Canis lupus familiaris: one gene and its partner. The protein of the gene in region 1 purifies or fractionates together with the protein of each later gene. This does not show direct contact. Links are inferred from orthologs where the notes say so. Each region holds a gene or a part of one and is shown in the gene's direction. Other genes may lie near its edges.

Evidence for each region.
Region 2: the proteins of BICD2 (region 1) and DYNC1I1 purify together in Homo sapiens (affinity purification with western blotting; 4 studies listed by BioGRID and IntAct, with this or other methods). This does not show direct contact. The link is inferred for Canis lupus familiaris from reciprocal best matches to the Homo sapiens genes BICD2 and DYNC1I1.

Annotation. Positions count from the first base shown.
Region 1 is NC_049222.1:99,445,792-99,449,349, forward strand, and holds part of BICD2 (protein bicaudal D homolog 2), read left to right. Parts: intron 1-3,131; coding exon 3,132-3,284; intron 3,285-3,558. UniProt on the Homo sapiens protein: Acts as an adapter protein linking the dynein motor complex to various cargos and converts dynein from a non-processive to a highly processive motor in the presence of dynactin.
Region 2 is NC_049235.1:20,925,996-20,930,143, forward strand, and holds the start of DYNC1I1 (cytoplasmic dynein 1 intermediate chain 1), read left to right. Parts: upstream 1-1,302; 5' UTR 1,303-1,397; intron 1,398-4,148. UniProt on the Homo sapiens protein: Acts as one of several non-catalytic accessory components of the cytoplasmic dynein 1 complex that are thought to be involved in linking dynein to cargos and to adapter proteins that regulate dynein function.

The DNA of each region.
Region 1 (3,558 bases):
GCTTAATGCCGGCTTTCCGGGAGGACCTCGTGGCCTCTGTAGTGCAATTTGTGTGAGGTGTGCTCAGCACATGGGATGGTTCCAGCTGCTCCAGAACTTGTCCTTTCGGTGACCCTGTGGGGGTGGGGGGAACTAAGGAGCAGGTGGTTTGTCCGCATGCCTAGGGTTGGGCTGGTAGCCCTAGGTCCTGACCTCTGACCTCTTCACTTGTGTGGATGGGCCCAGCTAGCATCTGTCCTGGGACAAGGCCTTGAGACCCATTTTGGAGATGGAGAAGCAGAATCTGGGGTGGCTGGGGAGCAGTTGGTTGGAGGCAGTCAGGTCTGGTGCACAGACTGAGGCCTTCCAGGGATTCGCTGGGGGAGGGGAAGGGGGTCCTTGTTTGGCAAGGGGGGGCTGCCCTTGAGAGGCTGGGCTGGAGGCAGTCCACCTCACCTGCCCAGTGGGGCCCTCCCAGGTGACCTTTCTGCCCAGGGGCCCTGTCCTTGCTGCCCCAGGTGGACTGCACGTGCCTTGAGCCCTGGAGTAAATGACAGACATCCCAGTGGAATTCTGTGCCCTGGAACCCAGGGCAGGAGCCAGGGAGGCTTGGTTGCTGCCTGGTGGTGCCTGGAGCTGGCTGGAAGGGCGGGTAGGGGTCAGGAGCAGCCTTGCCAGGCTCCAGGTGGGGGTTGTGGTGTGTAGGTGAGGCAGCAGGGGTGGAGTCCCACACAGAGGAGGAAGAGGGTGGGTCTCCTGGGAACCGACCCCACCAGGAGGTGCACAGCCCCCAGGGGGTTGGGGGTCTAGGCCGCGTGTCTACAGGTGGACCCCCTGCCTGGACGGCTGGCTCAGGTGAACTCAGGCCAGCCTTGGTCTCTGCAGCTGCACACGGGACACACCTGCCAGGTGCTTGGGGGTCTCTGGACCAGGAGAAGGTCCCTGGCTGCCCCCTCCTGTCCCCGCCAAGGGCCGGCCCTCCTTCTGGCCACAGCAGCTGTGGCAGCATCCATGTCCCTGCAGATGCCACATTGCTTGACCAGACCAGCTGCGGTGTCTGCCTGGAGACAGCAGGTCCCGCCTGGGCTGTTGCTGCTAACCTGCCTAGAACCTGCTGGGGTGGGAGGGGAGACACCCCCCCCCAAGCCCCAAGACCCCTCCATGTCCTTTGGCTGGCTTGTGCAGTTGTCACAGGCCCCTCGTGAGGGCTGGGCCCTGTATTCCCTGTCCTGCTACTCTTTCCCCATACCCAGAGTCCAGTGGCCATGCTCCAGGTGGCAGGACCCATGGCCTAGGGCATCAGCACTGCTTTGGAACCTTCCAGGCAGGGAGTCTCCTTGGCATGACCTCACTGCTCACCCCCCATACACCCACTTGGGGGCCTCAGTCCTTCTTGGGGTGGACAGGGCTGGTGAGTAGAGGCCTGGCTTGGCCCGTGTGAGGACAGCATTTTGCCCAGAGTGCGTGGGTGTGTGTTTGTCTTTGCACAGTTCCATGTGTCCGTGCGTTCGCCTCTGCATGGTTTCCTCATGGAAGGGGAGGGTCTACTCCCACTCAGGGCGCCTGGGGGCTGAGGCATGAGTGTGCTAGGTGCCGGGTTGGAGGCTTCGAGGGCACGGAGAGGGAGCCTGCCAGGCCCCCGAGTTCTGGTCCTCCCGCGCCCACCTTCTCTGGCCTGTCAGGACAGGACGTCCCCTGCTTTCTGCCTGTGCCTGTCCTCAGGGCTGCAGTTGACAGGCCACCTGGAAGAAGATGCTTCTTTGGGGGAACCAAACCACCCAGTGGCCAGTTGGAACTGGTTTGAGTGCTCAGAGTTGGGCGTGTGCTTGGCAGAGTTGCCGTGTCCAATTTGGGCCCAAAATGCAGGCATCTGGGTCTCACGTCAGTGGATGGTGCTCCCTCGCCTGCCCTGCCACGTGGTGTTTGGGGCCAGCTTGTGAGCTGGGGACTCCCTTCACTGCCCACAGGACTCACGTGCCCTCTGTCAGCCCCAGGGCTTATGCTTGGAGGCTGTGCTGTCCCTGGAGGAGGGTGGGGTGACTTCTGGGGACCCCATAGACCTCATGGGCATGTCACACTGCATGGGGAAGGCTGGATCTGCCCAGGCCACAGGGGGAGCTGCTCATGGGTCTCACCACGGCCTGTGGGTCGTGATGTGCAAACCTGTGGCCTGGGTGGGTTTTAGGCCTTGGCTCCCACCCCTCCAGGGGCCACGTCAGGCCTTGTCCCACGAGTGTGGGCGAAGGCAAGGGGGATGGGCCAGCACGTACTGCATGTGCACGGGAAGTGAGGTAACTCACTCTGGGCCTGCTGAAGCCACAGCGCGCCATTGGCAGATGCTCTGCAGCATGCAGGTTACATTTCGGTCAAGGGCAAAGCCAGTGTGCAGCTTCCCATGTACAGCCTGGCGCTCGGTTCTGGGGTGCAGAGGGTCCAGGAGGTCAGGGTGGGCTGTCAGCATGGCCATTTGTTTCGGCACAGAAGGGAGCTGGCCCAGTGGACAGGGCTCGGGGAGCCACTCACTGCCCTGCGACACAACAGGACAGCCCAGAATGTCCCAGGATGGAGGCCAGGGGACCCAGCCAGGCCCTGGTCAGGGCGCTTGTGGCAGCAGGCTAGGAATCCCTGAGTCCTGGTTGCCACACTTGCCTCACGTCAGTGTTGACCCTGAATCCTCAAGCCCCTTCCCTGAGATAATCCACATCCCTGACTACTCACTTAACCTGTGCACACGTCAGGTACCATCCCAGGTGCACTCTGGATGCTCCGTCACTGCCCCCGGTGCCCGCCCCTTCTCCTCCTCCTCTGCCTGCAGGTCGGTCTGTTCTGAACACCTGGAGTCACACAACCATAACCATGCATCTGGTCTCCTTCTCTTGTGGTGGGGGTCCCAGGTTCCTGCACGTCACAGCTGTGGCATCACCTTCTTCTTATGGCTACATGACACCCCATTGTGTGGACCGACCACGTGTTGTTTCCCTGTTTGTCAGGCGGGCTTCTGGGGAGTTTGCATACTTGGTACCGTGTGGACCTGCATTTTCGTTTCTCGGATACAAGCAGTGGGGCACGGTGCTGAGTCCGAGGGCACACCTGGGGCACACTTCCCGGCTCCCCAGGGCCCTAAGTCACTTTCGTGGCCACTGCCCACACAGATCAACCAGAATGTGGAGACCCAGCGTGGCCGCCTGCGGGATGACATTAAGGAGTACAAGTTCCGCGAGGCTCGCCTGCTGCAGGACTACTCGGAGCTGGAGGAGGAGAACATCAGCCTGCAGAAGCAGGTGTCTGTGCTTAGGCAGAACCAGGCAAGTATCTGGCTACGGCCTCCGTGCTCCATGGCACGCCCCTGCCTTCCCCACAGCCCAGCTTAGGGCCGCGTGGCGTGGATGCGGGGTGGGGGGTGGCCATGGGGTCCCCAGTCAGCCCCTGAGGAAACAAATACCAGAGGTGAAGCAGAGGGGACACCGGAGCCCAGGGGCAGGCTGTCCAGCTCCATCTGTCCGCAGCAGTAGCAGGATGCACCCATGACCCCTGGAGCCCTGGACCCGTCCCTCCCACTGTCCGTGGTCTGCCAGCCCC
Region 2 (4,148 bases), on another chromosome or scaffold:
AATGAAAAATGTATGTAGAGTTTGACATCTATTAAATATCCAATACATAGCAGTGGCAAGTATTTGTTTCATAATTTTTTTCTCTGAAATATCTTGAATTCCTTCATCTAAAAACATGTCACTTGTCTCATTTTTAGCTATAATATGGTCACAATAGTTTGCCAGGAAGGCAAAATTGGAAAAATTGGAAAAAGGGTGACCATTTTATAGAAAAGTATGACATTATATTTACAATCACATCTATTTTTATTCTGAAGTTACTATTTTTATTTTGAAATTACTGTAGTAGTCGATTAAATAAATTCGTAAATAGTCACTGAACATCTATTATGCATCAAACAGTATTGTAAGGGGCTGCCCCGGTAGCCCAGGGGTTTAGGGCCGCCTTTGGCCCCGGGAGTGATCCTGGAGACCCGGGATGGAGTCTCACGTTGGGCTCCCTGCATGGAGCCTGCTTCTTCCTCTCTCTCTCTCTCTCTCTCTCTCTCTCATTGTCATGAATAAATGAATAAAATCTTAAAAAAAAAAACACTATTGTAGGTATTGGGGATATGGCAGTGAATTAGATAGTAAATTGCCCTCCAGTAACTTCCATGCTAATGTGGACGGTGATCCCACAGATACTCTAAAAGCACAATGAAAAACGAACAAAATGATGCCAATCCTGCGTAGATTAGAATCCCAAGCTCCATTTCTGGGTCTCTAAACTTAGCTGTTACAGTAAGCTTTGGGGGAGTTCAAGAACGGTCACCCAGATTTTTAAAAGCTGGGATTCTTATCTATAGATAGATATAGATATAGAATCTTTTTCCTCGGGGGGGGGGGGAGGTAGGAACAGGAACAAATCAGACCTATGTCTTTGTGTGTAGCAGAGAGATCTGAGCTTTCTCTACTTACTTACACTGACCTTAAAGTAGTTGTCTGGGAGTGAAAGTTGCTCGGTGTCGGTGTCGGTGTCGGAATGTCAGCAGCAGCTCCCCAAACACTGCAGCTCTTCTGTTTGCAGCAACTTAGGCGAGTCCCGCACCGAGGCAGACCGACTGACACCCGCGCCCGGTCCCCCGCAGCCCCCAGCCGTCGGGCCGGCGCCACCCCCTCCTGGCGAGCCCCGTGGAGCCGCGAGCCGAGGCCCCCCCCGCGGGAGGCGCGCGGGGCGTGGAGGGCGTGGGCCGGGGGCGGGGCCAGCCCGCAGCCCGGGGCTCGCAGGGAGCTGTCAGTGTCAGGCTGGCGGGGAGAGGCGGGGCCGGGTCCCCGCGGAGCGCGAGCCGAGCGCCGGGCGCAGCGTGAGACAGCACATCCTGCGCGCGCCCGGCCCGCCGCCCTCGGAGCCGCTCGAGCCTCGGCCCCGCAGACCCCGGCTGCAGCCGCCGCGCTCCGCCGCCGCCCAGCGCGCCCAGGTAACCGGGGCGGGGGGGGGGGGGGTCGCGCTCTGCGGGCCGCTCCTCCGCGCCCCTCGACCTCCGCGCCCCCGGGGCGCCCGCGCCGCAGCCGCGCAGCAGGGGTGCTCGGCCCCCTCCCCAGGCTCGGGCGTGCGCCCTGCGCCCTGCGCCCTAAGGCGGTCGGAGTCCCCCCCGCGGCAGCCCCCGGCTGCAGCTTCCGCGGCGGAGCCCGGGGGCGCAGGGCAGAGGAGGAGGGGTCGTGGTGTCATCACCTCGTCGCCCACCTCGTGGGCCGGGAGGGGCGTCCCGCTGCGCCGCGCCTCGGCGCGGTCCGGGGCAGCAGCAGAAGGCTGGCGGCGGGGAGATGCGCACCCCCTGGGCCACCAGCTGACGGCCCCCGGGGGAGGGGGAGCCGCGGAGCGAAAGGGACAGGATGCCGTTTGATGACATTTTCAGCTTCTGCAAAGCTCTGAGATGCTGTCGCTACCCGCCAAGTGGAGGGAGCGGATGTACTTCCAGCAGGGCATTAATGAAACACTCACGCAAGAAGATGCCAGTTTCTCCCGCTGCTGCGAAAAAGTGTGGTTGGGGGATGTGGTGTGGTAAACAGGTTCCCAGCCGCGTGGGCTCCTTCCCCCACTCCCACTCCGGAACCGCTCGGGCCGCAGAAATCCGTGCGTCGTCATCGTGAGGGCACAGAGCCTGGCAGCACGGATGGGAACTGAGTGTGCGGGAGTCTCATGACTTGGTATCTCGCTAATAAGGTCGAACAGAAACCCAGCATCAGGACAGGAAATTACTTAGGAAATGGGAGACTCCACAGAATGCAGAAGATGGAATCTGTCCTGTGTTCTGGCCTCTGCACATCTAGGTAAGGGGCAAGAACGAGGAGCCAGCCATTTTCCTGCCTGGAACGCCTTCCGAGTGTGCACTCTGTAGACTTACAGCAGTTCAGGCTTGGGAAAAATTGCTTCCAAATATTCCAGATTAACAGGAAGCATAGCTGACAGGAAGACACCAGTAACTGCAGGAGACGTCATATGGCTCATCTTAGCACAGATGAAAGCCTCTGTACATATTTTCACTGTGAAAATTGTAGTGAAAGACAATCAGTGTTAGTAAATCCAAAATGGATAATTCAGTGCTAGCTGCATCCTGAGGGTGCTAGTGGGAGTGTGATTAACACTTCCTCTGATTATTTAAAATGTCAAGTTTTCTCCAAAAGTTTTGGTGTGAGAAACAAGGGCCCGAACTGTGCTCTTTTGACCATGTTTATCAATAAAATATACTCAGACACTCCTACCATGCAGTCATCAAACGTTCTCTTCATAGGAACCAAACGTGCCAACATTTCTAGGTTCTGAGGATTCAGTGCTCCAAGAGCCATTTTTTTTTTTTTTTTTCTGAAAAATCTTGTAGCACCATCTTTAGGAAGTTAGGACAATATGTTTGGGTGTCCAGTGCAGGCTCTTTCCAGTTTGGAAAAGAGCATCTTTTGGTCCAGAACATCTTCTGTGTCTCTCTTTTTTTTCTTCCTTGTCTTGGGCCTCAGGCACCCATGCACCTGCTTCCTCTTTCCTCGGGACTCGATGCTGCAGTCTCTGCTGCACAGCGCCTGAAAGTTATTCTACTGAAATGTGTCCTCAAGCTCTTTGGTGTTTGAGGTCTAACATTATTAGGTATAACCACTGTTTTGGATATGGGCAGAGAAAATAAACTCAACCCACAGGAAAGTGGGGGCAGTTCTTACAGTGGTATTGTAGTTTCTGGTTCCTAGTTTCTGACAAACTTATGAGATGATAAGAGGAAGTCACACAGCATTTTTGTCATCATGCTTTATGTCTAAGAGGGGGCTCTATTAACTTTCTCCCCAGCCTTTCTACTTCCCCAAACACTTATTCTCAAGTCTATGTTTAATAAAAATAAGCCTTTTGCTTGACTCCAGCACTGAGTCAAGTAATTCATAGGGATCCATCCAGGGTGCTCTTCTGTCCGGTCTTGTAAAATACACAGCAAGTCTTCAAACTATGTCTCTCAACACAGACTGTGCAGAGGCTTCATTCAAAGTTAGTTACCCAAAAGGGCTATCATTCTTCCCCATCACCCTGTTTCTTTCTGTCATTTAGCCTCACATGAGTAGGTATATTCCTTCATCATTTTGTTCTGTCTGTGCTTTGCTCTACCATGTAAAACACAGGTTGATAATACGTTGAACAATTTACCCGTGTCCAGTACATTTACTGAATTTATTACATTACCAATACATTTCCTAAAGTGTGTTGAGCACTTGACATTGGATTTTAAATTACTTCTCCATGTATTAACTTACTTAATCCTCACAAAAAATCTTATGAGTTATATATTATTTTTAATCCCACTTGAGAGATGAGGAAACTAAGACAGAAAGGTATTTTTTAAAGATTTTATTTATTCATGAGAGACAGAGAGAGAGAGAGAGAGAGGCAGAGACACAGGCAGAGGGAGAAGCAGGCTCCATGCAAGGAGCCTGACATGGGACTCGATCCTGGGGGTCCAGGATCGGGCCCTGGGCTGAAGCAGTGCTAAACCGCCGAGCTACCAGGGCTGCTGGGACACAAGAGTATTAAGTAACTTTTTGAAAATTGCTCAGCTACTAAATTATAGTCAGGATTTGAACCCTGGGCCATCTGAATCTACTCTTCCACACTAAGAACAATTATATTGACTAATTTCCATATACCGAATATTAATCTTGTCTTATCTCATTTAATATTTTATTTTTAATGTATA